Rhinolophus ferrumequinum: one gene and its partners. The protein of the gene in region 1 binds, or shares a complex with, the protein of each later gene. Links are inferred from orthologs where the notes say so. Each region holds a gene or a part of one and is shown on either strand. Other genes may lie near its edges.

Region 1 (10,836 bases):
TTTTCTGGAGGGGGCTTCCGAGTGTGTATCGAGCAGTTTATTTCTGCCATTATGTCAGGGAAACCAGTAAATGAGTTTTTATGAGGTGATTTATGAAACTCCCGGGGTGGACGAAGCGATTGCTGGGAAGAATGGCACCAACTTCCAAACTGGCGGGGGTGAAGGGAGAGCGAGGACTTGAAGTTTGGAGACCATTGATTACTTTGTTGCAAGTTGTGTCCTTTCAGACGGGGTAAGCGAAGTAGGATCGTCTCTGACAAGAGGTGTCAGGGCTAGAAGATTTCAGAGGAGCGCTGCCTTATCCTTTGGATAGGTGAAAGCTTCCTGCTATAGTACATCCTTTAAGGGCAGCACTACTGTTCTCCTTATTGCTGTAGCCCCCAGGAGTGTTACAAGGAGGAGGTCTAGAAACATTGAGAAATGGAAAATTATGGGTGGATCTCTCTCTCCCTGTTCATCCAGGAAGACAGGCAAGGGGTATCTGTCCGGTTCATCATCATCCCACCTTTCTGTTGGAGCTACGCCCCTGTGGTAGGTAGAACAATGGCCCCCAAAAGGTGTCTAAATCCTATGCCTGGAACGTGTGCATATATTATGTTACATGGTAAGGAGGGGATTGAGGTGGCGAGTGGAATTAGCGTTGTCAGTCAGCGGCCTTCAGATAGGAGACTATCCTGGACTAGCTGGGTGGGCCCCTTGTCATCACAAGGGTTCTTAAATGTGAAAGAGGGAGGAGAAGCATACGTGTCCGAGTGACAGGTTGTACGGACTCAACCCGCTATTGCTGGCTTTGAAGATGGAGGAAGGGGCCAAAAGCCAAAATATGTGGACAGCTTCTACAAACTAGAGAAGGCAAAGAAATGGATTCTCCCTTGGAGCTTTCAGAAAGGAGCTCAGCCCTGCCCACACCTTGATTTTAGCCCAGTGAGACCGATTTTGTAGTTTTGACCTCTAGAACTGGAAGATAGCACACTTGCATTCTTTTAAGCCACCAACTTTGTGCTGATTTGTTATAGCAGCCACAGGAAACGAATACACACCCAAAGCCCCTAACCAGCAGAGTGTGTCCTGACAGTCAGGTTTGAACCACATGACTGGAGGCTGAGCCATAGTTGATTGGACCAGAGGTAGATGTCTGTACCAAGATGGGCCTTTGTTTTCTTTTCTGCTTGCTCAGAATTTGGGCTTGGAACTGATACATCTGTGACTAGAGGCATAACATATAAACTGAGGATCTGACAGGGGCCCATGTTTGGCCATGTGAATGAGAAGCAGAGAAAAAAGGTTTGCAAAGATAATTATATCGAAGAAGAGAGAGGCAGAGAGAGACGGAGAGAGATCTGGTAGCATTCTAGTTTCTAGCTCCCCTCTGAGGTGAAGTGCAATTCTACAGAACAAATGCCTCAGCCAGTCACTGCCTCCCACTGACCTTTGCAAAAGAGCCAATGTCCTCAGCGCAGAAACGTTGAGAGATTGGCTCCAACCAAGTGAAAAACGCAGACTGGTGGGTATTGCGCAACTACCAGATCACTAATACCGGTTCCATGGGGGGGGGGGGGGAAGAATTTTTAGAAGGGAATCTCTGCTCCTAGAATCACATGAGAGGTTAATAGGTGTTGCTCTGTTTTTCAGATGAGGCTCAGGGAGGTGAAGTAACTTGCTTAGAGTCACACAGCTAGTGCATAGGGAAGCGGGCATTCAAACCCATCTTTCAGTTTCCAAATCTCATGTATTTTTTGTTTGTTCCTTTGCTTTTCCTATTACTCATCCTTGGCTAACTACTTCCTGGAATTCCTTTTTTTTTGAACTAGAAAGAACTCAGAGATCTAATAAATGTCTCTTATGTACCCGACAACAATTCCTGTCCAGAGAAGTCTGGGCCTTACAGGGTCCAGAAGCTACAGGTCAGATATGGAGGAGGGTTGACAGAGCAGTAGCTCCCCAGTCTCTCTTCTGATGCCTTTTACTAACTGGTGTCCGCATCTGGGTGGTTCCTGGGGATTGCCTACCAGCAGACACTGGATACTCAGCAGCCCTAGGGCCTCTATCTCTGCCTGATGTCAAGGCTTGCAATTCCCACCCACTGATGATGGTAAGTGAAGTGTGCATCCAACAGTCTTGTTTTGGCAGATATCTGGATATGGGTTTATCAATCAAAAGAAGCTAATTATGCTGCAGTACCAACCAACCACAAATCTCCATGCACAACTAGACCAGAGGTTTACTTGTCATTGCCAGCACACAGCCTTGCTTGACTGTGCTCCGGATCATCTTTACTCAGGGACCAGGCCGATGAAACATTGTAAAGAGAGCACAGTGAACCACATGTTATCTCTTAAATTTGCATCACATATCACTTTTTGTGGCTAAAAAGAATCACCGGGCCAGGTTATTCATCAATAGGTCAAGGACCTGTAGTCCTACCCTTGGGAGAGACCATGACTATGAGAGAACAATGAAACAGACTACCACAGGGGGTCTCCAGTCTCTATTGTTGTGGCAAGTCTGTGATTCCATGCGCCCACGAAACTCTGGTCTTCCTGTGCCACCCCGTAAGAATTCACACTTCCAGGCACTGGGCACCCTCCATGCAGCAAATGCCTGCTTACTCCATCTTTCTCTAAGGGATGTGACAATGACATCTTGGTGGCTGACAAAAACAGAAATCTATTTCTCACTCACAGCACTTGTCCATCATGGGTTGGGCATCTGAATGTGCAATATACCCTCTTTTTGGTAGAGGCTGCATTTAAGGACTTCCGTGAGAGTCCCCAAATGATTCAAAGCTGTCTGCATCTATCCAGAGGGTATGGAGGGTGTGGTTGTAGGGAGCTGTACGGGAGCTGTAGGGAATTTCAATACGCCTTACTCTTTTTCAAGAGATGAGTACCTGGCCTAATGAATGAAACATTGTTACTTATAAAACATAATTTATGTACATCAAACTGGATAGTTTGTAGCATCTCACCATGCTGTTCCTCCTTTTTATCCATATCCCCTTTCAGCTTTATGAGGTTTCAAATACCGTGTTTCCCCGAAAATAAGACCTAGCCAGATCATCAGCTCTAATGCATCTTTTGGAGCAAAAATTAATATAATACAAAAAAAATTATATTAAAACAAGACAGGGTCTTATATAATGATATGTTATGCTATGCTATAACAAATATAATATAATACCGGGTCTTATATTAATTTTTGCTTCAAAAGACGCATTAGAGCTGATGGTCCGGCTAGGTCTTATTTTTGGGGAAACACGGTAGTTGTTAGTCTGCTGTCAACTGGAGTTCCCTTGCTCTTTGAGGTCGAAAGAGTAAAATAAAATAAAATAAAGTAATAAAAAAGTGAAGTCTCATATCCCATGGGCTGTGGCAAAACGAATGGCCTCCACAGTGACTTGTCTAGGAATAGCAGGTACTTGTGGTTACTGTGCCTTTAGAGCCTGATGTTTTCAGCCTATTTGGGTCTCACCTTCAGAATGTTCCCTGCTCTTGCAGATCCAGAAAGAAAACTCAGACCTTTGTTCCCAGCTCTCACGCCGAAACCCACTGCACCAAACACACTGCTCACACTGCAGGTTGGTGTGGTGTCGTTCAGCCTCCTCCAACTTAAAAACCCTTCCCCAAGGAAGCACTCTTTTCCTGGCCTCCTCCCCGGGCTCTGGTTTCCCTTTTACCCTAATTCAATCCCCTTCACTACATTATGCAGAGCAATTCAACTCTTTCTTCTTCTCTGCCCCCAGGCTCACCTTTGCATAGCCAAAGACTCATTAATGTCTTGATAAAACAAAGGACCATTTATGTAATACAGAATCATTGGCAGAGATTTTTGTAATTTCTTTCTCATTTTCTCTCTCATACTCCATAGGCTGCAGGAAACTTATTTTCTTCATACAGAAAGGCTGAAGCTGCTATAGTTTGGGTTTTAAATAATGTTTTCCTTCTTCCTTTCAGGTCCATATATGTCCTTTCTTGACATCAATTTTTGACAAATGTATTTATTTAACACAGTGGGTCTCAAACCTTTGCTCTCAGAACTCCTTTACCTTCTTAAAAAGTATTGAAGGCCCTAAATAATTTTTGTCTGTATGGGTTTTATCTATCAGTATTTACCATATTAGACATGAAAACTAAAATTGTAAATATTCACTCCCTTAAAAACAAAAACAAATCCAAACATATTAACACAAATAGTGTATTTTTGTGAAAAAATACATTCCCAAAACAAACAAAAAATGCCGTGAGAATGGCATCGTTTTACATTTTTGCAAATCTCTTTAAAGTCTGGCTTAATAGGAGACAGCTGTTCTGCATTCAGTGTTTTGCAATATCACAAGTCACACGGCCTCTGGAAAATTCAACTGTGTGTAATTCATGAGAGAATTGAGAGTGAAAAGTCAAATAACATCTTATTATCAAAATAATTGTATCTTGCTGACCACTCTTTGACAACCACTGTTTTGATATCCTATTTGTGCATCCTCTTTAACAATGAAAACAAATGAAATCAATGAGCTCGTGAATTACATCTGAACCTGAACCAAAAACGTAGTACGAGCTCACTGATTAACGTGCAAGTTAAATAACTATGACTTAGAAGGGTATGTTTAAAAATTGCGTATCAGGGATAAACAGAAACCAGTGACGTTCTTCACCTTTGTCTCCACCTAATAAATTCTTAGTCATCCTTCAAACCTGCCTTCTCTGATAGCGATGCCTTCCCTATAGACAGTTCCTCCCCACCATAAATAACGAGATTATTAACAACGGTAACTAATCGGTATCGGTCACTAGGAGCCAAGGAAGCGTCCAAATATTTTACACGTGTAAAATCTCATTTAATTCTCACAGTAACACTCCGAGGAAGGTACTGAGCGTCTGGTGGCTGAAGGCTGAAAACGAAAGGCCTCTGGCCTCTCGCTCTGGGCCACGCACACCTGCTCTGCCCTAGCACTAATTGAACCCAGATCGTCACCGTCCCGCACACGGCGAGCCCTTGAGGTCAAAGGTCAGGCCGGGTCGTTTGTGGTTCCCTGCCACCTGCGCGGCTGGGCTCAGTCAGTGCGGGAGCCGACCAGGCTTCCGCGTCCTCTCGCTCCCGGGGCCCTGACGCCCCGGGCCGGCTCCCGAGGGTTCGGGGCTCCGGCACCTTCCTGTGCCGCCAAGCGGTACCAGGTTGTCTGCGAAAAGAAAGGGGCACGGGGGTACGCATCTCGGGATTGGGGAGGCCGTGGGCACCCCACATGCGCGTGGGCGGAGGGCGGAACCTTGCTCCTCTCGCGGCGGTAACCCCGCGGAGGCCGGAACCTTTCTTCTTGCGTCCGGGTTGGCGGGCGGAGGCGTGCGGAGCCGGAACAGTCCTCCAGCGGCTGGGCTTGCGCCCTGGTCGCCTACTGCTGACGTGGGCCGGCTGGGTCGGGGGCAGTAAGTGCGGGTCGCCATGGCGGTGGACATCACACTGCTGTTTCGGGCCAGCGTCAAGACCGTGAAGACGCGCAACAAGGCGCTGGGAGTGGCGGTGGGCGGCGGCGTTGATGGCAGCCGCGACGAGTTGTTCCGCCGGAGCCCCCGGCCCAAAGGCGACTTCTCCAGCCGGGCGCGCGAAGTGGTAAGCTGGTTGTTATGGGAACGGAGGGCTGGAGAGGGCACGGACCCGCGAACGCGGACCCCAGACTCCAAAACGGACCTTGTCGCGCAAGCTTTGTATGAAGGAAGCGCTTGGAGAACAGTGGTCTGATGGGGGACGGGAGAGTTGGTCCCGGAGAGCCGACAGCTGTCCTGGGAACGTAGCAGCCTCGGAGGAATGAGGACATATCTTGGGGAACTCTACGAAGTAGATTTTTTCATAGGGGGAGGAGCCGCTAGGAAATGGTAGTCGGCAAAGGTCGTGGGCTGCTTTGCAGGGAATGAGTGCGCCGTCACTGCAGGCGTGAACACCGGGGAGACTTCCCCGCAGATCTTTGCTCTCCCGTCGCACCACTGACCGCAGTGCATTTGCCTCTTCTATTTACTTGTCTGTCTTGCTCCTCCACTCCGTCCTTACCCCGCACCCCTGCATTGAGGTCAAAGGTCGTGTTCAGCGTACCTGTCGCTTCCCCTTGTCTCCTGCAATAGGTTAGGGCTCATGCTAGGGATCAGTACGTCTTGAGACTGGTTTAAGGTATCTTTCACAAACATTCTGTTACAGTCATCTTTGTTACAGAATGTTATTTGCACGCAGCGGGCTATCGTTCAGGGGAGCAGGGACCTTCGTCTTCCGGCAGGAACAGTGTGGCCGGTGCCCCACTCAGCATTGCTTAGTATGTGTTGAATGAAAACATGAACAAATGATTGTCTGTCTTCCCCACTAAACTCTGTAAGGGGAGAGGAAACGGTAAGGGGAGAGAGAATGTTTGCTTTGTTCACTTTTGTAACCTTAGCACCAAGGGGAGGTGTTGATTTTGTGGAGCTTGAAGGTTATACAGTTCTGTCTGTTTTCTTTAAGAAATTAAAATGCAAAATCACAAAAGAAGGTTCAGAGCTTTGGGAGGTGTAAGTGGGAGGGGCCCTGAAACTTGAACATTAATTTCATGGTAAATCCACTTCTGTTTGGCATGCAGTCCAATGCCTGGTACTTTGTAGACACTCAGCTGTTTTTAAATGAATATATGTATGCATGAATTAATGAGTGGCAGTTTGCAGAGGACAATCAAATATCGGGAAGGAAATTGGACCACGTGAATTCATTCAGTCCATTTATAAACATCCATTAAGCACCTACCTTCTGACCAGCACTGTGTTAGAATAACACAATTTAAAAGGACTGGTGGGGGAAACAGACATATTAACCAAACATGTGCCCTAAAGCCTTGTAAGTGTTGTGTAGAGCACAGAAGAGAATGTGTTCAGTTCTACCTGAATGCCAAGAATGGCTTTATAGAGGTGATACTGCCTGAAACAAATCTTGAAAGAGGAGTAGTTGTTGGTTCTACTGCAGTCAGGGTGCAAAAGGGCATCTCAGGCTCCAAGAAGAGGATGCACAAAGGTGTGGAGATAGGTTAACTTATGTTTGATTTATATACTCATGCATGTCTACCCGTTAAAGTACAAGCTTACTAGACAGTAATGACATTTCAGATGGGGGTTGGGGAAGGAACTCATAGCTGAACTCCCCCCAAACAGTGATGAATATGCTGCTTTGTAGTGAGAGTTTGATTAGTAAATTCGTTTGGATTGTGGGGACTAATGGGGGCCTTGGGAATGAAAAGAGAACTAGGACTTGGATTTCAAAGACTTGGGTTCTGGGTTCTGCTACTTAAAATTGGTGACTTGGGCAAGTCCTATTACCTGAGTCTCATTTTCTCTTTCTATAAAATAGAAACGATAATACCTTACTTAACGGATAAACTAATTATTAGGATCTGTGAGGCTATCCATGAGTATATATCATAAAGAACCATACTGGTTATTATTGTTTCCCTTCACTTCTTACCCCCAACCCCGTGTAGGCTGTTAGACTATTTTCATCATTGGTACCAAGTTATATTCCCTAAACCAGTTAGCTTTCTTGTACTTTTCATTCCTTGCTTGCAAAGGGGAACCAAATAAGTGCAAGAAGGAATCGGTGCAAATCTCGTGCAGGTACTAATAGCATCAGTGGGGACAGCAACTTTCCTTTGGCAAATGTGTGGCAAGCATCAGCTGTCTGCATCTCTTCCTCCCTGTGACCCTGGGAGCAGATCTGGGTAGCTCAGATTCCTTTGCAACATTGTGCCCCAGGCAACCATTACCAGTTGTTGGACCTGACATTCAAGTTGAAATCTGCTTGACATCTTACCTGACACATAGTAAAAATAGAACCCGTATGCCTAAAGTGGAACCATGGTCTTTTTTCTGTATATACTTAAAAGGATCTTATGTTCATGTTGTTTAGGTTTCTCAATTTATAGATGAGAAAACTAACACCCAGGTAAGTGAACCGACTTGCCCAGAGTCCTAATAGCTGAGGTCGTAGGACAGAGCCTGAGGTGGAAGCCAGGTGCTTTGACCCCAGTTTAATGCTGTTTATTACGCAGTCCCCCCGTCCCCCATCCCCCTACCTTTAATTTCCACTGCAATTTTAAACCCCAAATTCTTTGGCTTTCGAATGGCAGTGAGTTTCTTCTTGAGTTAATACTGAATTCCTAACTGGAGACTGAATGGTTAGGAAGACCTGAATTTGAATGCTTCCTAATGTGTCAAGTTGGTCAAGTTACTTAACCTCAGTTTCCTCACTTCTAAAATAGAGCAAGTAAGAGCAACCTTGTAAGGTTGTTGTACAAATGAAATGAGAAAAGTTATGCTGGCCCCTGCATGCGTGTGAATTCTTATAGTTGCAGGTAACGGTGAGCTAGTCAGGTAATTCACCTGAGCCAAATGGGAATGTCTTGGCTGATGTAGCTGGAAACACAGCATGGGCCTTCTTTCCCTGGCTCTTCCCCATCACACCCAGGAAAGGACACTCGTTGATTCTGCCTGGATCCTGAGCTCTCATTGTGGCATCAGAGCGATAAGGTTCTTCCTATGGCCAGGTGGTATGTCCACCCCAGTAGGTGGGTGGGATACTATGACTGCTGCCCCGCCCGGACTTTGGAAAAGGGAGTGCTGTGTCTAGGAGTGTGGAGTGAGGGATGCTGGGCGGCAAAAGCACCGGAAATGTCCCCACAGTGGCCAGCGCAGTGCCTGAATGCCTCCCCCTTGCCCGCCTGGTGGTCTTCACTCTGGGGGGAATGAAAAACTGGAATTGTGGGAGTTTGGAATGACAGACTTTGGGTGTGCGAATGTGTCTGGAGGGGCCTCGGATGGCAGCTCTTCATGTTCTTACTGACTTAGGAAGGTTACAGAGGCCAGGGAAAGCACCACACAGGAAACCAAGACCCCTCTAAGCGGCCAAACTGTCCAGGGGCGGCAGGGGCCAATGAAAAGCACAGGAAACCTGTGGTAGCCCAGGCCTGCCGTTAAGAGGGCAGGCCACGTAATCTTCCTGGGCCTCAGTTTCCACGTTGGTAAAACTCAGAGCTCAGACTAGATAACGGCAACGATTTCTTGTCAAACAAAGATGTTTTGATTACATATCAGATAAGAGCAACCCTGAGTTGTTGGGAATTCTGCTGTCAGATGAGGCATGTCGATGAGGTTTTCTTTGTGTAATATACATTGCTTGTGTGAAAGCTAAATGTCACATATTTTTATTTTCTTAGGAATTGATTATCTTGAGTTCCAGTTTGAAATTCAGAGTGACCCGCAGCCAGATGATCTGGTCCCCAGGACTCTCTGACTCGCCTCCTTTCTCTCCTCTTCCTCTACTCCCACGCCCTCGCCTCTGCCTTCTCACACGCCGCAGGCGCACTGCTACCTCAGGGCCTTTGCATATGTTGTTCCCTCCACCTGGAACATTTTCCTCCCAGATTGCACATAGTTTGGTCTTCAGGTCTCTGCTCAGACATTCCCTCATGAGACCTTCCTCGACTGCCCTGGATAAAGTAGCATCCTTTTTCTGTCCCTTACTCTGCCTTATTCTTTTCATTATCTAACATATCACATATCCATTTATTTGTTGTTTATCCACTAGAATATACACGTCATGGAAACAAAGACTTTGTGTAGCTTACACTGAACCCATAGGTGCTAGAACAATGCAGGGACATAGGTACTCAAATATATTTCTTGAACCATCAGTATTTCTTGAATTAATGAACGTGTGTTAATCTGCTGTGCTGCTTTGCTTTCAGTTTTGGAGCTAGTTGGTTTCTGTCCAGGGCTCCTTTCAGTTCTGGGACTGTGTGATCCTAACACGATGCCTTCATATTCCACAACATATGTGTATTCTTAGTGCAGCGTCTGCAGTAAACATTAGATAAACGGTAGCTTTTCCTTTGTTAAACTCATTATTTTCTTAAGATTTGGTTCCTACCTCAGTCCAGTGGAGAAGCTGACACATAAAAAGTATAAAACTCAGGTATGAGTGACAGGCATCTCTCTTGACATTGATTCCACAGGTCCTCCTTGATTTTCTTCTGAGATGTAGTGTTGACCTGTGTGCCAGTTTGGGGACGTAAAGGTTGAACCGGGACCACCTGGGTTATTACCTAGAGTAGCTGGAAGTAGACTTTCTCCAAGGACTGGCTGTAATCGTACTTAGACAGGGGTTTCAGTCGAGGGAGCATGGCTTGAAGAAAAGGTGCCAGGCAACAAGTGGCAAGGACCAGTGAGAAGCCCGAAGGGCCAGACAGGAGAGGAGAAGATCAGGAAGCAATGTAGGTTTAGGCTGCAGGCTTCGCACAGAGCTTGCGCTGTTGAAGCAGGTAGTTGTTAGTATTAGTAGTAATATTAATATTAATGCAGAAACCTTTTTACCAATGAAAGAAGGAGCAGTTCTGGCTAAGGCTGGGATGAGGGGCTGGGAGGAGGGGTTTGTTAGCCATCCTGCCCTCTACCACCCTGCTCCCCTGTCCTTGAGGAGCCCCTTTGGAACCAACCGTAGGGCTCAGACACACAGGTTAAAAGCCACGTGTTAGTGTTCTCCAGGGCCTCTCTTAGCTTCACACTGCTCTGTTTTTATGGGTCGTAATGACTGAGTGTATACTGTGAGCAGAACTCAGTGCTAGAGACTTTTCATGCTATTAATAATAGTGAGCCCTTTGTGTACACTGCACTTCTGAATTCCCCCGGGATTTATTAAGACTGCAGCTTTTGACATTATATTTATTTATTCACTGATTTATTCCATCATCCTATAAGCGTTGAACCCCTGATGTGTGTCAGGCGTTGTGAGGACACAGAAAACTAGGAGACATGCCCAGCTCTTTGAAAACACAGA
Region 2 (10,713 bases), on another chromosome or scaffold:
TATGTAAAATTTTGCCTTAGACCTTTATTTTTTAGGAAAGTTGGATTAACACTTCTGTGAATTGTCTACTCTGAGGTTTTGCTAATTTTTCTAGTGTGATGTCTTAGGTTGGTTTCTCAAGATGGAGACACTGAAGGGGGGAAGAAGAGAAGTTGGGAAGAATATTCAGAGGAGAAGGGGAATAAGGAAATAAGCAGAAGGAAAGACTAAGAACGTAGGCTAGGCTGGAGACTAGCTTTAGTCCATCCCACAGAGAGTTCTGGAAGACAAGTTACACCACAGAGTTAGTTCGACCGCAAGTCCTGGATTGATGTCAATGGGTCATTGACTGAGTCAGTGGGATCAGGGAAGGTTGACTCCTGGGTGGGGCAGCTCCTCCTGAGCCAAAGGCAGTCTCCAGAGATGGCAGCTGTGATTTGTTCTTAGCTCCTACAGCAACTGTGGTTTGGTTACAATGACAGTTAAAGGAATCTGTTGGGGAATCACTAGCGTCCACTGCATGAGATTTGTCTTTCTTATAAATGATAAGAGGATGTAAACATTCTGTGTTAGAGCTTGCAGATATTTTCTTTTTATTTGCCATTCTCTTTCACTTTGTTTATGATTTTAATGAAGAAATTATAAATGTTTGTGTGAAGGGGATCAGAATATACTATCTAAAATATGCTACTTTGGCACAAAGATTATTTTAAGCTAAATAATCTTTTATCTGACTAAAAGCAGCAACTTCTGAAAAATGAGGCTGCTGCAAAATTCCTCTTCAGAGAAGGTCTTTCAGAAGGGAGAACCCAAATAAAACCTACCCCAAATCCCTTCTCCAGGGAAGTTTTAAGACCACTCATACCTGTATAGACAAACATTATCACAAATTTCCTATCTCCAGTCTGTTCTCCTAAAATCCTACTTGTCTTTCTTAGAGAAACCTATTTGTTTTTCCTAAAAGAAGACTTTTCTTCTCCCTATTTTCCCACTACTTAAGTATATAAACATCATTTCTAATCATTTGACAAACCAGCTGCTTCTTTTGTTGGCTCTTATACTCATGCAAAATAAACCTTTTTATCCTGTTAATCTGTTTTTCATTAGTTTCATTTGTAAGCCCCAGCTACTGAACCTAAGCAAATAGGGGAAATTTTATTTTTCCTCTCCTACGTGTGTTATAAATATAAATCAAAATCATTCTCTTAAGGGTTCTGCTTTCTTTGCCCTTTTCAGTCTAAGATAAGAAAACTCATTCAGGTAAAAGGAATATGACATAAGTTATAAACTTGGATCTACTCAAAGAAATGAAGATTCAGAAATGAAACATATGAAGGTAAAATAAATTTTTCTCTCATTTTTAAATTGCTCTAAAAGATGGACAACATCTCACTAAAGAAAGCATATGGGTTTCAAATAAGCATATAAAAAGATGTTCAACATCATTATGGAAATGAAATTAAAACCTCAATGAGATGCCACTACATGCCTATTAGCATGGATAAAATTAAAAAAGAAAATCTAATAATATCAAATGGTGAAAAGGATTTAAAACAACAGCAATCCCCCATTCATTGCTGTTAGGGATGAAAAATGATACAGCTAAATTGGAAACAATTTGGCAGTCTTTTAAAATTAAACATGTACAACCCAATAATCCCACTTCTAGATATTTACCCAAATGAATTTAAAACTTATAATTTTATCAAACCCTGTATGCAAATATTTATAGAAGCTTTATTCATAATTTTCAAAAATGGAAACAATCAATAGGTGAATGTATAGACAGTTTTACATCCAAATAATAGAATTACTTACTCAGCCATAAAAAGAAGAAACTGTTAATGTATATAACAATGTGGATTTGTCTTAAGTGCATGCTGCAAATGAAAGAAGTCAGGTCCAAAAGGCTACATATTGTATGATTCAATTTATATGACATTCTGGAAAAGGCAAAACTGTAGGGACAGAAAACCAAAGGTTGGGGAAGGAGTTGACTAAAGGTACTACAAAAGGGGATTTTAGGCAGATGACACTGTTCTTGTTCTGTATGGTACTGGGGTGATGAATAGATGACTCCATGCATTTATCAAAATTCCATAGAATTGTATACCATAAAGAGGGAACTTGACTCAAACTGAAAAAAAAAAAAATTTAACCAGGTGTGCTTGGTGAACACCAGACAGAATGCAGACAATATGATGATTGAACTTGACTGTAATACAAACATGACTTCACTGATGGAAGTGGGGGAAAAAAGCTGATCTTGGTAATTTGAAAAACATTGTAAGGCTAAAGACAAAAGAATTGTTCATAAACACTGTACTCAAATTTTTCTCTCACCGGAGCGTGAGTTAGCAACTCTGAAACTACATTGTACAATAAGTAATTGAATTAGATAATGGGAGCTAGGTTCCTCACTGTTAGAGAGAGGAAGTGAACAATAATGAAGCCGGGAATGTTAGAATGAACCCTGTGAACTGGATTACAGTTGGAAATATCTATATGAACTCATATATATACACTTATATATATATATATGTATATATGTGTGTATGTATATATATATATACAGATAAAATTATAGATACATGTGTATACATGAGTTAATATACTTACATTTATTTCTTAGCTCTGTGCACTGAGAAGGCATAGAAGCAATCGACACCCCAGTAGCAATGAGAAAGCTAGAGTGCAGATCTTTGAATACAAATACCATTTTCCAGTCAAAGAAACAATGGCTTCATTGTAAAATGACTGATTTTAGAGCCAGAGCAGGGAAAATACAAGATAAGCCTGGAGCATCTTGTTGTACCAACAAGTAAGGAAATGCTGGGGAAGAGAAGGGGAGGGAGGTGCTCTCAAAAGGACACAGGAGCCAACTTAAAAAAATTCCCAGTGATGGAGAGGCAACTTATTACAACCTACAGAATAAAATAAATATCCATAAATCTATACTGATATAAATAAATGATTAAAATATAAATGAATTTGGGAGAAAAGACAAATATTCCCTACAGAAGAACTGAAGGAAGTAGAAAGTCACCTTTAAAACACAACAGTAATAACTGCTGTAGGCAAAATATACTAATGAATGCTAGTCAGTGGGCAAAACTTTAAGGAAATGTAGGTTATGTTCACGGCCTCCAAGTATCTCTCTCCCAATATTTATTTACTGTGGTAGTTTAAATATATGTCCATAAATTTTTTTACATTTTTTCATTCCAGAGGTGGAACTCAGTTCTCTTGATTGAATAGAACTCAGTTCTCTTCTAATGAATATAGTATGGAAATGGGAAAATGGTAACTTCACATTGGAGAAAACTCACAGACATCGTATTAACCAGGTGATCAAGGTTAACAGCAGCAGTCATAGATCATGCAAGTTTCATGTACCACATGAAATGATATGATGAGAACACTTTACCTCCATGGTATTCTTTCCAAAAGTCTATGACCCCGTCTAATCACGTGAAAACATTAGGCAAACCTAATTTGAGACCATTCTACAAAATTCCTGACTAGTAGTCTTTAAAAAGTGTCCAGGTCATGAGAAAAAAGGGAAGACAGAAAACTGTCATAGATTGTAGGAAACCAAGAAAGCAAGCTGTGTAAATACAACATGATATCCTAAATTGGATCCTGGAACAGAAAAATCAACATTAATGGAGAACTAGTGAAATCCAAACCAAGTCATAGTTTAGTTGATATTACTTTACCAAGGTTCATTTTTTTTTACTTTTAACGAATGCGCCATGATTATGGAAGATGTTAACATTAGAAGAATCTCTGTAAGGTGTGTATAAGAACTCTGTGCTATCTTTGCAACTTTTCTGTAAGTCTATAATTATTGTAAAATAAAGAGTTTACTTTAAAATGAGGAGGGAGAGAGAACATATTCTAGTTGAAGGAGACTGCATAAGCAAAGCACAGAAATAAGATAACCTCTGGTGTGTGGTTGGACAGCTGGTGGGAGGAAGGGAGGAGCAGAAAGAGATGAAGAAGTTCTTTAAACTTGCATATTCCAAAGCATAAATTTTCATGCAGGGGAAGGCAGGATCCAGATCATGTAGGTCCTTATACTCGTATATAAGGTGACCATATAACATCGCTTCCGAAATGGGACACTTTTGATAATGAAAGTGGGTGCTCTCTGCAGACAAGAGGCTGGGACAAGCATAGGCTGGGACTGTCCTAGAAAAACTGGACGCATGATCACCTTATTTATATGCTATAATAAGGGGCTTGGACTTGATTTTGAAAGCAATGTTTTCCACAATGTATATTCTGCAGGAACTTATAGCCATTAAATATAAAAACATTTCATGGTCAAATACATTTAGAAAATACCAGGTTAAAGAAAGTTCTTCTTTTTTTACTGAACAACTTCTCAGAGCCTATAATTTACAAACATGCACTCTGAATCTTCAAGAATGTATTATACCATGGGTTTCCAGACCTTTCTCCATACACACTCTTCCCTAATTCCTTTCCTCAACCTATACAACCCAGTAAGCACCCCTACTTTTTTTAAGGAGTGTTTTTTTTGTTTTGTTTTGTTTTTGTTTTTTTAAGGAGTACATTTGGGGGCATGTTGCAACCATGGGGATGGCATGAAGCCTGGAGTGATGTTTTCAGTTTTGTGCTTCAAATACTCAGTGGTGACTCAGAAGATAATAAAGTCGAGTACAACCTGAGGTAGAGATGCCATTGAGGAGGCTATTGAAGTGGATCCAGACACCGTGAGGGATAGAGAGTAGAGGGCACATATCAACAATATTTAGGAGGTGAGAAATGAGAAATGAACGTACCGACCATGGGTTAAATGTCCATTAAGATTTCTGTGGGATGCCTATTTATTACCTCTGTGTTTAAAAATCAGAGCAACATCTGTTCTGTGCTTGACATATCACTAGGCACCTGTGTGGTCTTAGAAAGAAAACAAGCAGATTGCAGAGGGAGCTCGGAGGTGCTCCAAAATAATCATAACAAAACAACTGTTGTTTATTAGGTATTACTTTAGCTGACTTTTAATATAGCACAGATTTAAGAAAGCATCTGTGTTTTCCCATTGTGTTTTAAATCAAAAACAAGCTTTCAGAAGTCAATCTGTACCTCTCATTTATCAATAAATTCATCCTGCTTGGCCAGCATGCCCACCTCTTTCTATTGGTCCCTCTTTACAGAGGCAGAGTGTAAGTTGCTGCTTATTATCACACTTGCAGTGTAGTTTTCTTCAATAAAGATGAGAAATAGAAAATATCTCTTGCTCCCATTTCTCTGTTAAAGGTGGAAAAATGAAAGATAAACTGAAAGATTCTTGTGTTTCTTATCCCTGGCTGACCTGACTTATGTACGATATGATTATGTATGTGTAATACCAAACAACCTAAAATTGGCTCAGGTGGTACCAATTCAAAATACTGTTGTTTTTTTTCCCACCTAAGTGCGTCTGGACTTTTGATGTTCTGATGATCTTTTCAGAAAATAGTGTTGCCTTAATATAAGCAAAGGCCAAGCCAATCTATCTTCTACTTAATTTGGTGAGGTATTTCTTTCACCTGAAGAAACTGATGCTTTTTATCTAACAATGACATTATGTTTGAATATTATTATAACACTCTGTTCTTTTCAAACATATGAAAACTGTGTCCTGTCCTTCAAGGATGCTTGGAATGATTTGTACATGCTGTGAAAACTTGTCTACTAAATGAGCACATAAAGGTGACTCTTCACTTATTTTCCATTGTTCCTGCTAGGACTGTGCATTTGTGTGTCCCCCCCCCCCCCTTGTTTTTTTACTGGAGCTGTGAATATGGTCTACTGCAGAGTAAAGGGTTAGGAAACAAGACAGGCATGAGCTGATGGGGCGGGCTGAAGACATGCATCAAGAGAGGCCGGCATCACCCAATAAAGAAGACAGCTGCCCTCCATTCCCTCCTCGTTTTTTGCACGCAAGCTAAGGCGTTCACCATCTGTATGTCAGGCCTCAAAAAACACCTCCCTTGCAATTTTGCTGATACCCCCATTCCTTAGCTTAGAACGAGGGGGCGGGAGAGGACCGCGGTCACTCATCCCGCGGCCAATTGGAGGGAAGCGAGCCCCGCCTCCTTCCTGGGCTGTACTGCGGGCATGCGCAGTGGGCGGCCTACCTCCAGCACCCTTCAGTTTAGAATCGTATCTGGGGGCTCTGGGGCCTTTGGGTGCCCGTGGCCGGAGCAGGAGGAGGAAGCCGAGGAAGTTGGGGTAAGCGGAACCTGGGGGAGGGAGGGTGACCGGCCGGGAGTCCCGGAGGCGCAGTGTCCCAGCGGCTGCCGCGCCTCCCTGTTTGTACGGGATGTCAGGTGGCCGCCGCCCTGCTCTTTGCTGCAGGCGCTCGGGAGGCGGAGGGCGGCTGCTCCCCAGCTCTGGGAACCCCCGCCGCTCCCCGCGCCCCCCGGCTCGGCGCGGGTGCGCGGCGGGGTCCGGCGGCGCGGCCTGGAGGCCCGGCCCGTCGGGCCAGCCCCGCGCCGGCAGCCTGGCCGCCTCCCCGGCCGCCCCTCGGGCGCGCGGTGCCGCGGTCACTCAGGCGCACCTGCGGGCTGCGCGCCCCCGTGCGGAGCCCGCCCGGGAGCCGACTCCGGCTGCTGCTCAGGAATCCAGGAATCCAGCTTCGGCCTCGAGCAGAAGACGAGTTGACCTCTTCCTCTTTTTAACTCTCGGATTTAGAAAACACATTTTAAAGTTCTCTTCCCGGATATAAAGGAACTAAAAACATATGGCTACAGTAAAGGAACCGTATACGTTTATTCAGGGACTCATTGTTGATTTTCTATTTGGCTTGATAAAGCTAACTTGGTCTTCTCAGTACATGTCATTAATTGCTTTATATAAAGATCTTTAAAAATACGTAAAATATTTCGAGATACCTCCCCCTCTTGTTTTTCAGGTTACTTTCTTTCAAATCAAACTTGGAGAAAAAAATAACAGTGCTTTTCTGGTCAAATGCTATATATATATATATATATTTTTTTTTTTTTTTCTCAAGTGCCTTGTATTTGCTTGGCTCTTACTTACATTCATTTTTGTTTCATTCCGGTAAATGTATATATTAACTTGCACAGAATCTGAAAGAAAAGGAAATGATTATGAAGTCCGGTTCTGTTTAGTAATGCTGGGAGTGCAGGTTTCTTCTGAGGGGTGGCCTGAACCTCACTCGGCATAAACTGATAGCACGGTTACACTGTGCATTGTGATGTGAACAGACCTCTGCTTGACAGGCCACTTTGAGGAGTTTGTCTCAAACTACTTGTGACAAGTTCAGAATTATGCTCTAGTTTCAAAGTTTCTGTAGAAGTTGATATGATACCGTGTTAACTCATTAACGTCTGCATCATTTTTCTTTAGATATTTCACTTGGGCTGCTCCCCATAACAAAGTCAAATGTAGTTTTGGTTAGGGTTACAAACGTTAGCCAAGTGCCAGTGGTTGAAAAATGTGTAAAACCTGAAGTAAGTCTGAGTAAAGTTTGCCGTGATTCTATTTAATTTGGAAACTTAGTGTATGGAAGGATGAAAAATAATCCTTTGTATTGTGAACTAAAGCCAAATAATATACTGTTTTAACAGATGGAAGAGCTGAGATAAAGAACGTGGTTAATCTAGTTGATCTGGAGAATGCTCAGGTCCATAGAGTAATCACCCTTCCATTCATGGAACATCTGCCATGCACCTGACACTAAATTCCAAGGTTCTCTCTCTCATGTATATTCCAGAGGTGGGGATAGATAATAAGCAATATACTAATTAGATCATTTTAGATGGTGATTAGCACTATGATACAGTAAGTTAGAGAGATCAACAGATTGTGCCGGGGTGGTGACATCTCACTTCAGATGGGAGTGGTCACCGAAGACTTCCCTAGCATGTGATGAGACCTTGCTGGGAAAAAATGAGCCAGTCACATGGAGGTCATGGGAAGAGTTTTCTAGGGGTAGGAAATGGCACCAAGGAAGCAATTAGCCTGGGACATTCAGGATCTGAAAGAAGGTGCTGGAATTCAGTGTCTTAGAAATGGTGATATTTACCCTCAAACTGGTTGTGTGTTTTTAGGAAATAGGTACCTGTATTCAGTATTCTACAAATATTTATTAAGCACCTATTATATAGCCAGGTACTGAGAATACAGCAGTCAACAAAATAGACTGCCTGCCCCTCATTAATTGGTTTATAGAAAGACCTTTAAAAACACATAAAATATTTCAAGATGCCTCTTCTTCTTGTTTTTTAGATTATTACTTTCTTTAAATTCAGATATAAAGAAAAAAAACATTGCTTTTTCCGTCAAATGCTATATTTTGACAGAAATATATTTTCACACTTTGGGACATGAGGTGGAGGGAAGGCCAGTTCTTTACGCTGGTCCTCATGCTTAAGAAAGTGAAACTGACTTTTCTGTTGCTTTGTGTATAGATGTATTTGTGCATATCGATGGAGGGCCCATCTAAGAGAGTACATAAATAAGAAAAGGAACATTTCCTCATTCACTGTGTTTGTGTTGGCTGTGTGCCAGTTTTTCTAGAGCTCTAGTTGATAGAAGGAAAGGAAAAAGAAAAATGTCATTGAGCCAGCAGAAAATGGTCTCTATCCATACAGTAGAATATTATTTGGCAATAAAAGGAATGAAGTATTGATTCATGATGCAATATGGATGAAATTTGAAAACATGCTAAGAGAAAGAAGCCAGTGTACAAAAGAACATGTATTACATAATTCCATTCAAATGAAATGTGCAGAATAGGCAAACCTATGAAGACATAAAGTAGATTAGTGGTTGCCTACAGCTCGGAAGGTTGGCAAGAAAGGGGAAGTGACTGCTGATGTGTATGGGCTTTATTTTTAGGGTTCTAAATGTGATGCGATAGTTGCACAACTTTGTGAATATTTTCAAACTCTATTGGACTGTACACTTTAAATTGGTGGGTCGCATGATATGTGAATTATATTTCACTAAAGCTCTAAAAAAAGAGAAAAGATGCAGGATTTAGAAATCCAATTGGTGGTTTGTAGGATGCTTGGGAGAGTGTTGGTCTCATTGAATCCCCAGGTCCAGCCTTGTTCTGTGTGAGCCCCAGCACTGCAGGTGGCTGCAGGCCCAAGTCCAAGGCTACCTGGAAGGAAGTTTATTCCTGCCACTCTGCTACAGTGATTCTGCTGTCTGAGTTGAGGTTTGATTTTACTCTTTTATGAAGTTGGTTTTGGGTCTATAGGTCTTGATGAGGTCCAGAAGGCTCAGAATAGATAAATTGGACTTGTGGATTGATGGAGGAGAGTGGAGAGCATCTAAAAGTGCCCAGGAATTCCAGGGTGGCCAGGCACATTCCACGATGCACCAGAATTTCAGGCATGGAATCAGTACTGTTTACCTATCTTAACAGTCAACTGTTGCACCTTCTGCCTGCGCTGACCCTTGGAACAAAGACACCTATTTCCTTGTGGCCTCTTCTCCCCTACCAGATATCTCCAGTGGTTTCTTATCGCAACATATTCAAACCAAACCTAGCATCCAGGGCTCGCCCTATTCTGGGACATTAGCTTTGTGTGGTAGCCAAGCATGGGTAGCTTTGGAACCAGAGCCCTGGGATTGAATCCCACCTCCACCTGGTGGGTGGGTTGGGTTACCTTTCCAGTTACTTAATCTTTATAAGCCACAGAATTTGCTTATCATTAAAACAGTTTATTGGCCACTACCTACTTTAAAGGGGAGATTTTAAAAATGTAATGAGACAATCTATGTGAAATGCTTTTCACTTCACACATGTGCAATAAATGTTAGGTCATCCCTCTCTCCTTCTTTCTGTGTTGTTTCTCACTTGCCCCAGCCACGAATCATCTGACACAGGGTTGACCAGGAACTTTGACACCCTGTGGTTGCCCTGTCCACATGTTCTGGGTATATCCACCCTGGGCTTTATGTCTTTGACACCAGTCATACTCAGGTATCCAAGTCTTATATTTTTGTTTCATAAGTTTTTTTAGATAGCGACAATAGTGATATTTCCTTTTCATACTCCTTGTCATTTCTGCGTAGCACGTGACCCTTTACTGATTTGTGTTGCTTCTGTTGTTCTTACATTATTAACTTTATTCTTTCTCCTAAATGATAAACTTGATTTGGGAAGATCCTTTATCTTTGTTGTTTTGTTTATTTGCTTACAGCTCCCAAGTGCTTCTTTGAATGGTGGGCAGGTAGCAGACTCGTAGCAGAGTTGGATTACAAGTTGACCTCCTACAACTTTGCAGTATTCAGTGCACACTCAGTGAAAAGATAGTGTACGAATAGTTGAAATTCTTTGTTGGACATGGTCCTATACATAGGGCACCCCTTTTCATCCTGTCTTTGCAAACTGAATGGTGTGGGGTGGATTGAGGAAGAAAAGAATTTCATCTTACCTCCTCCCGAAAGCAGTATCCCAGCTTAGCTTCCTATCCTAAGACGCTGGCTTCTGGACGAGGAGAGTTGTTCTCCTTGCTCTGTCAGGAAGGTATATGTATGATGAGCATTTTACAGGGCATTGCTTTTTTTTTCCTCACTTGTTGACTTTGCTCTTTCAAATTGGACCTTCTTTCCCATTAAAATTACAGATCCATTAATCATATGTTCCTGAGCTGTTCTTACCTGTGTTAAAGTAGATACGGTAGTGAAATTTCTCAGGATAGCCTGAAGTCTGTTTTCCTTTTAATATTTAAATACCTG
Region 3 (10,515 bases), on another chromosome or scaffold:
ATACAGATAGCTCATAATGAAGTCCAGAATCTTACTTTAAGTGAAGGCATTGTGAATTCACCTCAAATAAACCCCATTGTTCCAAAAGCAATTATATAAACGTTGACTCTAGTACTACTATGACTTAAAAACAAAACAAAACAAAAAAGACAAAAAAACAAAAAACGTTCTTCCTCGTTTCAGATACACTGGATTCTTTATAGAGTTTGTCTCCACATGAAAGCATGCTGTCCAGTTCTTGTTAATAAGATCTTGTCTGAGTTTTGAATTGGGTGCCACACTTTTTCAGTCAATATGACCGCTTGTTCTACTGTACCATGTATGATTCTTGTCCTTTCCTAGATCCTTCATGACACATTATGATGTGGCTTTATATTGTGCCTTACTTGTACATTAAAACAAAACGTCTTCATTCTCTTCCACTTCCTAAATCTTTCACTTTGACCTTTTTAGTAAGAGAATCAGAGCTATTATAAAAACATCATGAAGGATTTCAGATGAGTCTGGTTTCAAGTTCCCTCTCTTTATAGTTATTTTATGTTTGTATGGAAGACCAGTTTTGAATGGTCTTTGAATATGAGGGGGAAAGAGTAGCAGTAATTTTACTACATCCCTTTTTTTCTGATGTTCATGCATTTGTCAGACATCTTCTTTCTGATGCTTGACTTTATTTGCTCCTTAGCAATAGTCTGCATTTAAAGAGATGTGTTCAGTTCATCAACTTGAAATTGACTATTTCATTTTTCCAGAATTTTTTAGGAGAAGAGTACCCATTTTGTTTGTTTTATAAAACAGATGACAAGTCTCTTTAAAAGAAACAGAAGTACAGTAATTTTGAAACACAATGCTGTTAGTTTGGATTTCTTTTTTTATATATAATATTCATACAATTATCTGATGTTTGCCTTCATTAATAAAGCTGTTAGTTTATTCACCAAAATGTCAAGAATGGATGTGCTTTTCTTTATTCCATACATTTAAAACTATTTTAGCTGCTAAGATTTAGTTAACTTTCTAAGAGACGAATTCAAGTTGCCTTCAACAGGAAGTAACAAATTTATGTTCCCTTTATATAGTCTTCCTGAAATTCTGTTTAAGTATTTTCTAGTTAATTATGTAACAGAATGTTAGCATCTCTCCAAATCTTGAAACTTGAATTTTGAGAATGCATTGAATTATGCTTTCAGTGTTAAAGTAAAAGGTTTCAATTATCCTTCTAGTGAAGTCTATTGTGGAATACCATTTCCCGTGGAACTGAGGCCATTTCCACAACTTTGCACAGAACTGCAGTCTTGTTCTTCCCTCGAATCATGACAAATAAGTCTCACACAGTGCCGTAATACTTGTGGATTCTTTTGTAATCTTTGTAATCTTAATAAGGGCATTATGAGAAGATGACTCCATGTTTTTTTAATATTTCAAACACAATGGGATGTAACAATGTCAGCTGTAGGAATGGTTGTTTCGTTTTAAGGAATAAGCATGTTAGGGAAAGATGATGAAAATGTACTACTGAAAGTTTTACACTTCCATAGGCAAGTGGGGTTATGTGTTGAAGCATAATCCTCATGCTTAGTAAACTGACTGAAATTGTAGAAACTACACCTAGAAATTGAATTATGCCAAATTGCCATTTTTTTTGTTTCGAAAAGAGAGATTTGGGGGTAGTAGTGAGAGAATAGAACCTTGAAACTACTTCCCATAGTATTTTGGAATTGCAGACTTGGTGACTACTCAAGAACAGCCGAGTTGGGTATTTCGGTGTGCCAAGTTCAGGTGAACTAGGTTTGCCTTTCGTAACTGTCAACACAATGGTGTCGTTGAATTCTGGGGGGACGGGAGCGGGACTGATTACTGTGTCTTGCCCTTCGCCCTATTATTTTTCAGAACCAAATAACAGAAATGTGTATGTGTGTACTGTATCTGCCTTTGACCACATTTTTATGACACTGTACTCCACTGCCTGCTTTTTTTTACCTTCTTTCCCTAGGATTTGTCCTATAACTTAGAATTTGTGGTTAACAGTGATACGAGGGCTGACCGCACATAAGTCACAAGAGTGGAAGGGCAAGAATTCAAAGCATTTATTCATACAATGTGGCAACCTCTCTTGCATAGCTGTGTAGGATCCTGTTTGTAACGCTATCATAAATATTCTGTAGTTTTGTTTCCCCACCCCCCTCAACTGGAGCTATGAAACTTTTTATTGGATTCAGTCTTGTCTTTTGTCTAGAAAGAATTTTATCTTGTTGACGCATGAGCTGTTTAAAAATTATTCTATTAAATGTTGGTTAATAGTTGTGCAGTTTTTCTTTTCAGAAGAAAAGGCAATTCAGCTGTTGCCTTTGTTTTCTGTCATCTTCCAAGCCCTCAGCACTTCTAGTCAGATACAGATTCATCAGTGTATGCAACATCCTTTGTAATTTAAAATAAAAAAAGATGAAAAGAAAAGCTCTTGAATTGTTTGCCTCATGTTTTTGCCCTTCTGTCTCTTGCTCTTCTGTTGCTTACCAAGGTAACCATCAACTCCCTTCCAGAAAATCCACTGCAAATAAATTCCAAACTAAAGACAGCAATGAACTATGGATCACGCCCCCCCCCCCTTTTCTTGGTGTAGTGTACAAAGAGCTAACTTTTTTTTTTTTGACACTGTGGGCTGATTCCTCCAGTAATTTAGCAAAACTTATCTATAATGTAGAATTATTTATTGATAACACTTGCATTCTTCATAGTTTAGAGCATAGTTTAGTGTATAGTTATTCTCCTCTGATTCTTTGGACAAGTGATTTCTCTGAGGGAAATTAAATATTTTGTTTCTTATTCGTTCAAACATCTGTAGGTTTTTGTGTGTTTAATAATTCCAAGTAAGTCCTCAAGCTAGGCTGGACATACATAGAGCCTTCAGTTGGGAGACCACTGTAGCAGTGAGTTCCTTTAGCGAACAAACAGACTTGCTCCTTCTGCCAAGACTTGTGCCTAGGTACTGGGCTCTAAGGAGACTAGAGACTTCCAGTCTGCTGAGGGAGGTGGCCTGTGAACAGGACCACAGAACAACACAAGAGTTGTTACACATGCAAAGGGCTCTAGATATGTTACCGCCGAGTTATTTGCAAGGACACAGATACCACATCCAGTGGGGTATGTTAGAGAAGAATTGACAGGCTTGTGTTCCTTACATGCCTGGACCCATGAAGAGGAGCCCTTTTTGCTTCCCTTGAGTGACACAGAGGCCGTCAGGAAGCAAAGTGGACATAGCCTCCCATGGACTGGTTGTGCTTCAGGACTTGACCTCAAGACCACTCTTCACAGGAGCCTCTTTCATGGTCTAGGAACTTGAAGGAGCTGGGTGAGTCAGGTCTGTCTAGTCCTTAGACAACTAAACCTCCTGTGTCACCCAGTTAGATGGGTCATTCAGTTGTCCCTGCTCATCAACATTGATTTCAGAGCCAGGAAAGCTCCTTAGCCACAAAAACTTTAGCTGGGAAATCTTTTAATGTCCCAGCTGGAAGGTTCAGAACAGCAAGAAGGCGTGAGAAAGTCCTAGATGGTCAGGGTGGCATTCATGAAGCCCCTGCTCAGTGCTGTCTTGTCAGAGAACTCGGCTCCTGCTCTCAATTGCCCAGTGAAGTGGGTGGTCATCAACTAGACTCAGATAAGGGCACTCACCCCGGACCCAACATATAACAGCTCCAATTCAAACTCCGTCTGTTTGCTGCACTCGGAAACAATTCACACTCCTAAGGCCAAGTCACAGGCAATATTTGGATGGATGTCTGTGTGGAATGGAGATAATGGGCTTAGAATCTGACAACCAGAAAGGACTAAAGTCAAAACCTAACACATTTAGTAACCAAAAGCTAGTCTCAGGATCAGTGGGTAAAGGCGATGAGAACAAAACAGCGTTGGCAGTTTGGCAGTGGGTCACCAAATCGCAAACCTCTCTCTCAAAGATGGCCGCTAGCTGGCAGGCTTAGAATTGGGTCTTTTTGTTAGAATGGAGTATGTCGGAGAGTAGAGAAATGGGGAGATGTGTTTTCTTCTTAAATTGCTGAGAGAGGCAATTGGGAACTGTTGATTGCACAGGTATTTCCAGCAAGAAGCATGATGTGAAAGGGCCCCAGCTCACATGGGCAGATCTGTCACTTGCAGACTTTGGGCTTCTTCACTGTCTGGAATAGGGAGCTTTTGTTTGGGGATCCAGAACGTATGACCTGAAAAATCTCAACCTCAGTTTCTTTAAAAGGTTTTAATTTGAACATTGCCAGGAATGAACTGAACTGCATGAGGTCTAAAGAAAACTTGAAAATACTAAGGGCACAGAAAACTTGAACAAATAACAGATAGACCAAGTTCTTGAACAGGAACAGTCTAAGAAACTGTTCAAGAGAACAAAGCTGTCAGTTCTCCTAAGTTAAATAAAAAATGTAATGCCATCCCAGGAAGGACATACCAATAGGGTTAAAAACAAAACTAAGTTCACATGAGGAAAAGAATAGGTGGGAGATGCTGGGGAAAGAAAAGGGGGTGTTCAATCCCAACATAGTAAAATACATAAAACTATCATTGTGAGTGTCATTTTGGTGCATGAATGAATGGACAGGCTAATGACAGAAATAGATTCAAACATAAGAATTTAGTCAATGTGGCATCCTGAACCTGTGAGAAAAAGATTCTTCAGAAAATACTGTTGGAAAAACTGGGTAACCCTCTAGAAAAAATTAAGTTGGCTCTACACTTCACATCATAAGCCAACATACTTTTCAAAATGGGTAAAGATCTAATGTAAAATAAAAAAAATTAAAAATCATAAAAACAATTCCTGTGGGTGGGGGGAAAAGCCTTTTTAACTTGGATTTCAAATCCAGGAGTCATAAAGACTGGTAAATTCTATGTGGAACAAAAATAAAGCAAAAAATTTAAACCTTGAAGGCCAAAAAAACACCGTAAGCCAACTAACTCAACATTCTCTAGGCGAAGAAAAAAGCTCACGGCTAACGGCATAATCCTCCTAATACACAAAAAGCTCCTGGGAACTGATATGAAAAAGACCAACAACCCAATAGAGAAATGAGCCAACAATAAGTCAATACAAATAGTCCTCAACCTCATTCATGATAAGAAACATGCAAAATAAAAGATGGCGTTTTTCACTTAATCAAATTGGCAGAAATCCCAGTGTTTGTTAACACATCATGTTGGCAAGGCCGTGGGAAAGCAGGCATTTGTACCACATGCTAGTGGGAGTATAAACTGATAATGACCTCTGTGAAGAGCAGTTCGGTCGCATGTAGCAGAATTTTTAAATGCACATACCCTTGGACCTGGCAATTCCATTTGCGCCGGGCAAAGTTATTATTCTCCTTGCCTATTTCCTCGTGTGTAAAATGGGATAATTCTATCTCGTGGGGTTGTTATGCGAGTTAAGTTAGATGATACACATAAAGCACTTAGTACAAGTACCTGGTACAGAGGAAGTGTTCCCGAAGTGTAATAATAGCCGTCAAGGTGCATTGTGTTCTTACCACATGTCGCATTACCACACTGCGTGGTGCTTTTCATGTCTTATTTAATCCTCAGCCCACCCTGTGATTCCACCAGGTAGCCTCTGAGGAAACTGAGGCACAGAGACGTGAAGTGGGTACACTGTGAAATATGAAAATACAAGAAAGTTTAAATAAATATTTAAAAATTGTTAATGCCACCTTCCAGAGACATCCCAATCGATACTTTCCTTCCAATCTTTTTTTTTTCTCTCTATATGCAAAAAAAATCTGTAACCATTACAGTGGCAGATAGGCGGAAGATGGGGGAGAGGCCACCGCGAAAGCGTTCTTGATATTCCCTCTTCTCTTCCTCTCCGTTTTATTAGGACCACACCAAGAAACGAGGCCGATTCCGCCCTGCCCCCTCACCCGCCCCCGGTGTCAAGGACAAGTCCCCACGACTCGGCGCCGCCACTCTCGCTCGCCTCGGGCCGGTCTATAGGGGGCGCTGCCGCGAGACCGGGAGGCCGAAACGCGTTTAAACTTGGCCACCGCCGCTGCCTGTAGTCGGCGTCTCCAACATGGCGGCTTCCCAAGATGTCCACGTCCGGATCTGTAACCAAGAGATTGTCAAATTCGACTTGGAGGTGAAGGCGCTTATCCAGGTACTGATTCCCGGGACCCATGTCGGGCTCCAGCCGCCCTACACCCGAGCTCCGCTGGTCTCCAGGGAGCTCCGCCGTCTCACTCTCGCGCTTTCCCCACTTGGTCAGGACCCCAGCTGTGGAGGACTCAGGACGGGCCCCGAGCACTCATAGGTAGCTCTGTGGCCGGCTACCTCCTCTCTGTACCCTCTTCCCCTTGACCATGGGCCTTGAGCTTCCATCCGGGTGTCGTTGGCTCGCGCTCATCCGGGACACCCCCGTGTCCCCCTCCCCTGACCAGGCTTCCCCTTTGTGGCCCTGCTTGGTCCCTGCCATCCGCACCCCTGGCTGGCGCCTCGCCCAGGACCACCTCACAACCTACCTATCACCCTGCTTGGCCCCGCCCCACTTTTTGGTAGCGCTTTGGAGGCATTAGCCCTGCCCCCTGCTGGCCAGCTCCGCTGGGTCCGGTGCCCCGTGGCACTCAAGACCACTTGGCACGGATGAAATGAATGTAACCTGAACCGTAGTTGTGATTTTGTTAAATGAGGGAATCGAGTCAAGTGCCAACGCCTGGATCAGAAGGCAGGTAGTAGCAAAACTGGGACCTGCACGGGGAAAGTCGGCCTTCAGAAGGGACTTAGTCTCTACTCTGAGATAATTGAAGGTGCTTTGGCTCACGCCATTTAAAGGCAGAAAGCTGTACAATAAACCATGGCATAGGCAAGAGTTAGGAATGTAGAAATGGTTCCTTGAGGTTAGCAAAAGAAACCAAGAGTTTTAAACCCTGTTTTAAGCAAGTCGTTTCTATTTCCCACAAATGTTACTAAACATCAGGCGTAGGCTCAAAGTTTGCAGCTAGCTGAGGCAAAAAGTGAAGGAAAGGAGGGCTCCCCACGGAAACCAGATGTAAAATAAACTGAATTAGTGGTTTATCATATGGTGCCAGGAATTGTGATTTAATGAGTAAGCCAGAGAACAAATGAGGAAACTTGATATAAACATTTAAACTTCTTGAACTTCCTTCTCCCATGCATAAACTAAGAAACGGACCAATTCTAGACTCTGATGAGAAAGGTTAATGATAGCTAGATTCACTGCACTCTTACTGTGTTCCAGCTCCTCTGCCAAGCACCTTACATACATACATGGTCTATGAGTTAGGTAATGTGTTGATGAGGAAACGGGCCCAGACAACTCAAGTGACTTTTTCAAGGTTACATAGTTAGTAAATTGCTACAGCAAGAATCTGAATTCACATAGTCTGGCTGTAGGGCCTGCTCTAAAACCTGACTCCAGTAATTCTGAATGTTCAGAAACAAATTCTAAGTCTACCCTAGAATATGTGTATAAACACTGTGATTTATAGTAGGTGGTTTGTAGAATCAGATTGAAGTCAATCTCGTCCTACGATGCCAGGAATTTAGCACCCTGGTTTTCAAGTTGGAAAGCTCTAAAGTTATGGTATCACTTTTGGCTGTGCATTTTAATTGAACACACAAGCTGCGTTAAGCCTTTCCTACCGGTCGGGTGGCATTTTGTTAAACTTTAGGAACTAATAAGTCGAGACAGAGTTGTGTTTCTTTGTATCCTTTTATATTACCTACTCAAAATTAATTTAAAGAGGGATGAGAAAAATGTAAATGATAACGTTCTTGCTTGTGTCGCAGAGGTGAACAGCAGCGATCACGTCAGTAGGCCTACCTTAAGTGGTGGTCTAAGCTAACGCTCTCACTGTACAGACAGTGTCATTTCATTTCATTGCCTTGAGAAAGGCCCCTCACCTCTTCGATGTCTCCTAGGATATTCGAGATTGTTCAGGACCATTAAGTGCACTGACTGAATTGAACACTAAAGTGAAAGAGAAGTTTCAACAGTTACGACACAGAATCCAGGTGAGTGGCTGCGGAACTGAGATGCTGAGAGTCAGGGGACTTGGTCCTGGGACTCACCGCTGTCCAGGTTCTTGAGGAAACATTCAGACAGTGAGAGTAACTGTACTAAGCTGCTGTCCAGGTAAAAATGAGGAACTGGGAGTGCAGAGCACTGCCAGCTGTGCTAAGTGGATGGCAGGGACACCAGTCGTCTTTGCTTGGAATTTTTCAACTTGAAAACTCTGAGGTCACTTGAACTGCTTTTTCTCTCGCGCTGTCTCCAATCCATCCCCATTGTCTCCTGGGTTGTTGTTTTTTTCAGGCTGCCGCTTTGCCCAGCCCCTTCCTTTCTGTTTTCTGTAGTGACCAGTCACAGCATATGCACATATAACACTCTTGAATTCAACTGTGGTATAGGTGCCGTCTTAAAAAACCAACAGGGAGAGGTACCAGTTTGAATAGTACAGGTGTTGCTGCCTCTGTGCCTTCAGTGAGGGTAAAATGGGGGGCGTGGATCTGCCCATCTCTGGGTGAGTCTTGCGCACCTGGTCTGGCTGCATATGGTACTGAGGTTTAAAGACTTCTGCTTTTCATATCGCATGGCTCCAAATGCCAGCCAGCAACTGTTGTTCCTTAACAGAAGAAGACAGTCTGTTCCAAAGCTGGTAGAAGAACTGGCCGTTTAGACCCTGAGAAACAGTATGTCTATGTCCTGTGTGGTTTTCAAGCCCAGTTTTGAAAATACACTTTTTGTCATAGGAGTTCACTTTAGAATTTTAGCAGTGTCGCTGAACGTAGTGTCTTTTCTGCCTTCATCACTAGCACTGATTTAATCATTTTAATGTTTTTGAAAGGGTGTTGCTCTCACATGGTTTATACATATGTGTGTGTATGTGTGTAAATATTGGCACACAGCGAAGTCTCAGTTATTCTCCTTTTGTGTTCTCCAAACAAGTAACCAACCACCTTTATTTGTTACTTATGTATCTTTCCATAGTTTTCTCTACTCAGAGACTAAACAATGCAAATAATGTTATTTCTTTCCCATTTCTCATCTAAAAGGTAACATGTAAAAACACTGCCTTTTAAAACTTAACAATATGTATTGGAAATCTTTCCATATCAGTATTGGGGAGCTTCATCTTTCTTTCTTCATAGCCATATTTTTTTTTTAGTTAGTCCTCTATCAAAGGACATTTATTTGGATTGCCCTTTTTTTTTTTTTTTGCTTCTTAAAGCTAATTTATTCCCTAAAAGACCTTTCTTTCTTCCACTCACATGACTTCAACTCTCCAACCATACCCACCAAGTATTTCCTTGTTCTTTCTGTTAAGTGCCTGCTCACCCAATGTGTATTTCCTGCATTAATGACAATTACCTCCCCAGTACATTTATATATTTATTATGTCTATCCACCACCCTCTGTCATCAGCTCCTCCTGGCACCAGTCGAGGCCCTGTGAGCACGTGGACAGTGAATGAGTAACCCCATCCAGCTTTAATTTGTATTTCCTAAACATTCATACCTGGAAACACATACAAGATTTCTATTTGTTTGATTTTTTTTCAGATCTTACATCCTCTTTATTTATTTGCAACAAGATTGTGTGATGCTAGGAGAATAATTGGCCCCATAGCCTCAGGATATGGTGTCCTGTACATAGTAAGTGCTGGGCAGTGACTGTGGAAATATCTGTGTGAGTGTCTTTGTGTGCAAACTACTTTATACCTTTTCTTCCAGAACTATCTCTGGGTCTCTGTGAGAGAACTTCCAGGCAATCTTTCACGAGGAAACTGTACATTTTTCCCTCCCTCCTTCACCTCCCTCCTTCCCATACATCCATTCTTCCCTTGGAGAATTTGGTGCCTAATACGTATCAGACACAAGGGGTATATTTAGTGAACACTAGATACAGCACTGCTTTTGCAGACTTCATATTCTAGTAAGAAATCTAGATTTTAAACAAATAATTATGCAAATTAACTAATTACATTTGCAGAACTTTTCCAGTTCACATCCTTTTTCCTCTACCTCAGCAATACCTGGGGCCATAACTTGGAAGTCACCTCCGAGCTATTGAAATGGTGGATACAGACATTTGTTCTTGACCAGCGTGTGCAAAGTGCAAATTAGTATATACATAATTAGTGTAGAAATGAACGAATACAGTGTTGTTTTAGCATCAGTAGCTTGATTGAAACTGGAACTTGCTTTAATCTGTAAACAAAAACACATGACTTGAGAGCTGAGATGTGGTGCCGTCTTTAATTATAGTCTGTCAGCAGTTCCGTGTCTGACGATCTCGGGGTCTCGGGCTGCTGGCTCTTACGTCTGCGGCCCCTCGCTGTGGTGGACCGTTGGTTTCACCGTTCCGGCTGTGTGCAGTCCCCTCCAGCAGACCTTATCTGTGCATATAGCAGCCTGGCATGAAGCTAAGTCTCCGGAGGTTTTTGCGTTTGCTTTGGCCAGATCTCCTGGGATGATCCCATGGCTGGGAGCACTTTTCATGTTAAT

The links.
Region 2: STX18 (region 1) and STX7 share a complex: the UniProt entries of both Homo sapiens proteins name them as parts of the SNARE complex. The link is inferred for Rhinolophus ferrumequinum from reciprocal best matches to the Homo sapiens genes STX18 and STX7.
Region 3: STX18 (region 1) and BNIP1 share a complex: the UniProt entries of both Homo sapiens proteins name them as parts of the SNARE complex. The link is inferred for Rhinolophus ferrumequinum from reciprocal best matches to the Homo sapiens genes STX18 and BNIP1.

The regions. Positions count from the first base shown.
Region 1 is NC_046288.1:83,035,982-83,046,817, reverse strand, and holds the start of STX18 (syntaxin-18), read left to right. Parts: upstream 1-5,333; 5' UTR 5,334-5,439; coding exon 5,440-5,607; intron 5,608-10,836. UniProt on the Homo sapiens protein: Syntaxin that may be involved in targeting and fusion of Golgi-derived retrograde transport vesicles with the ER.
Region 2 is NC_046286.1:79,643,541-79,654,253, reverse strand, and holds the start of STX7 (syntaxin-7), read left to right. Parts: upstream 1-6,084; 5' UTR 6,085-6,225; intron 6,226-10,713. UniProt on the Homo sapiens protein: May be involved in protein trafficking from the plasma membrane to the early endosome (EE) as well as in homotypic fusion of endocytic organelles. Mediates the endocytic trafficking from early endosomes to late endosomes and lysosomes.
Region 3 is NC_046307.1:38,785,926-38,796,440, forward strand, and holds the start of BNIP1 (vesicle transport protein SEC20), read left to right. Parts: upstream 1-5,999; 5' UTR 6,000-6,064; coding exon 6,065-6,148; intron 6,149-7,929; coding exon 7,930-8,022; intron 8,023-9,570; coding exon 9,571-9,663; intron 9,664-10,515. UniProt on the Homo sapiens protein: As part of a SNARE complex may be involved in endoplasmic reticulum membranes fusion and be required for the maintenance of endoplasmic reticulum organization. Also plays a role in apoptosis.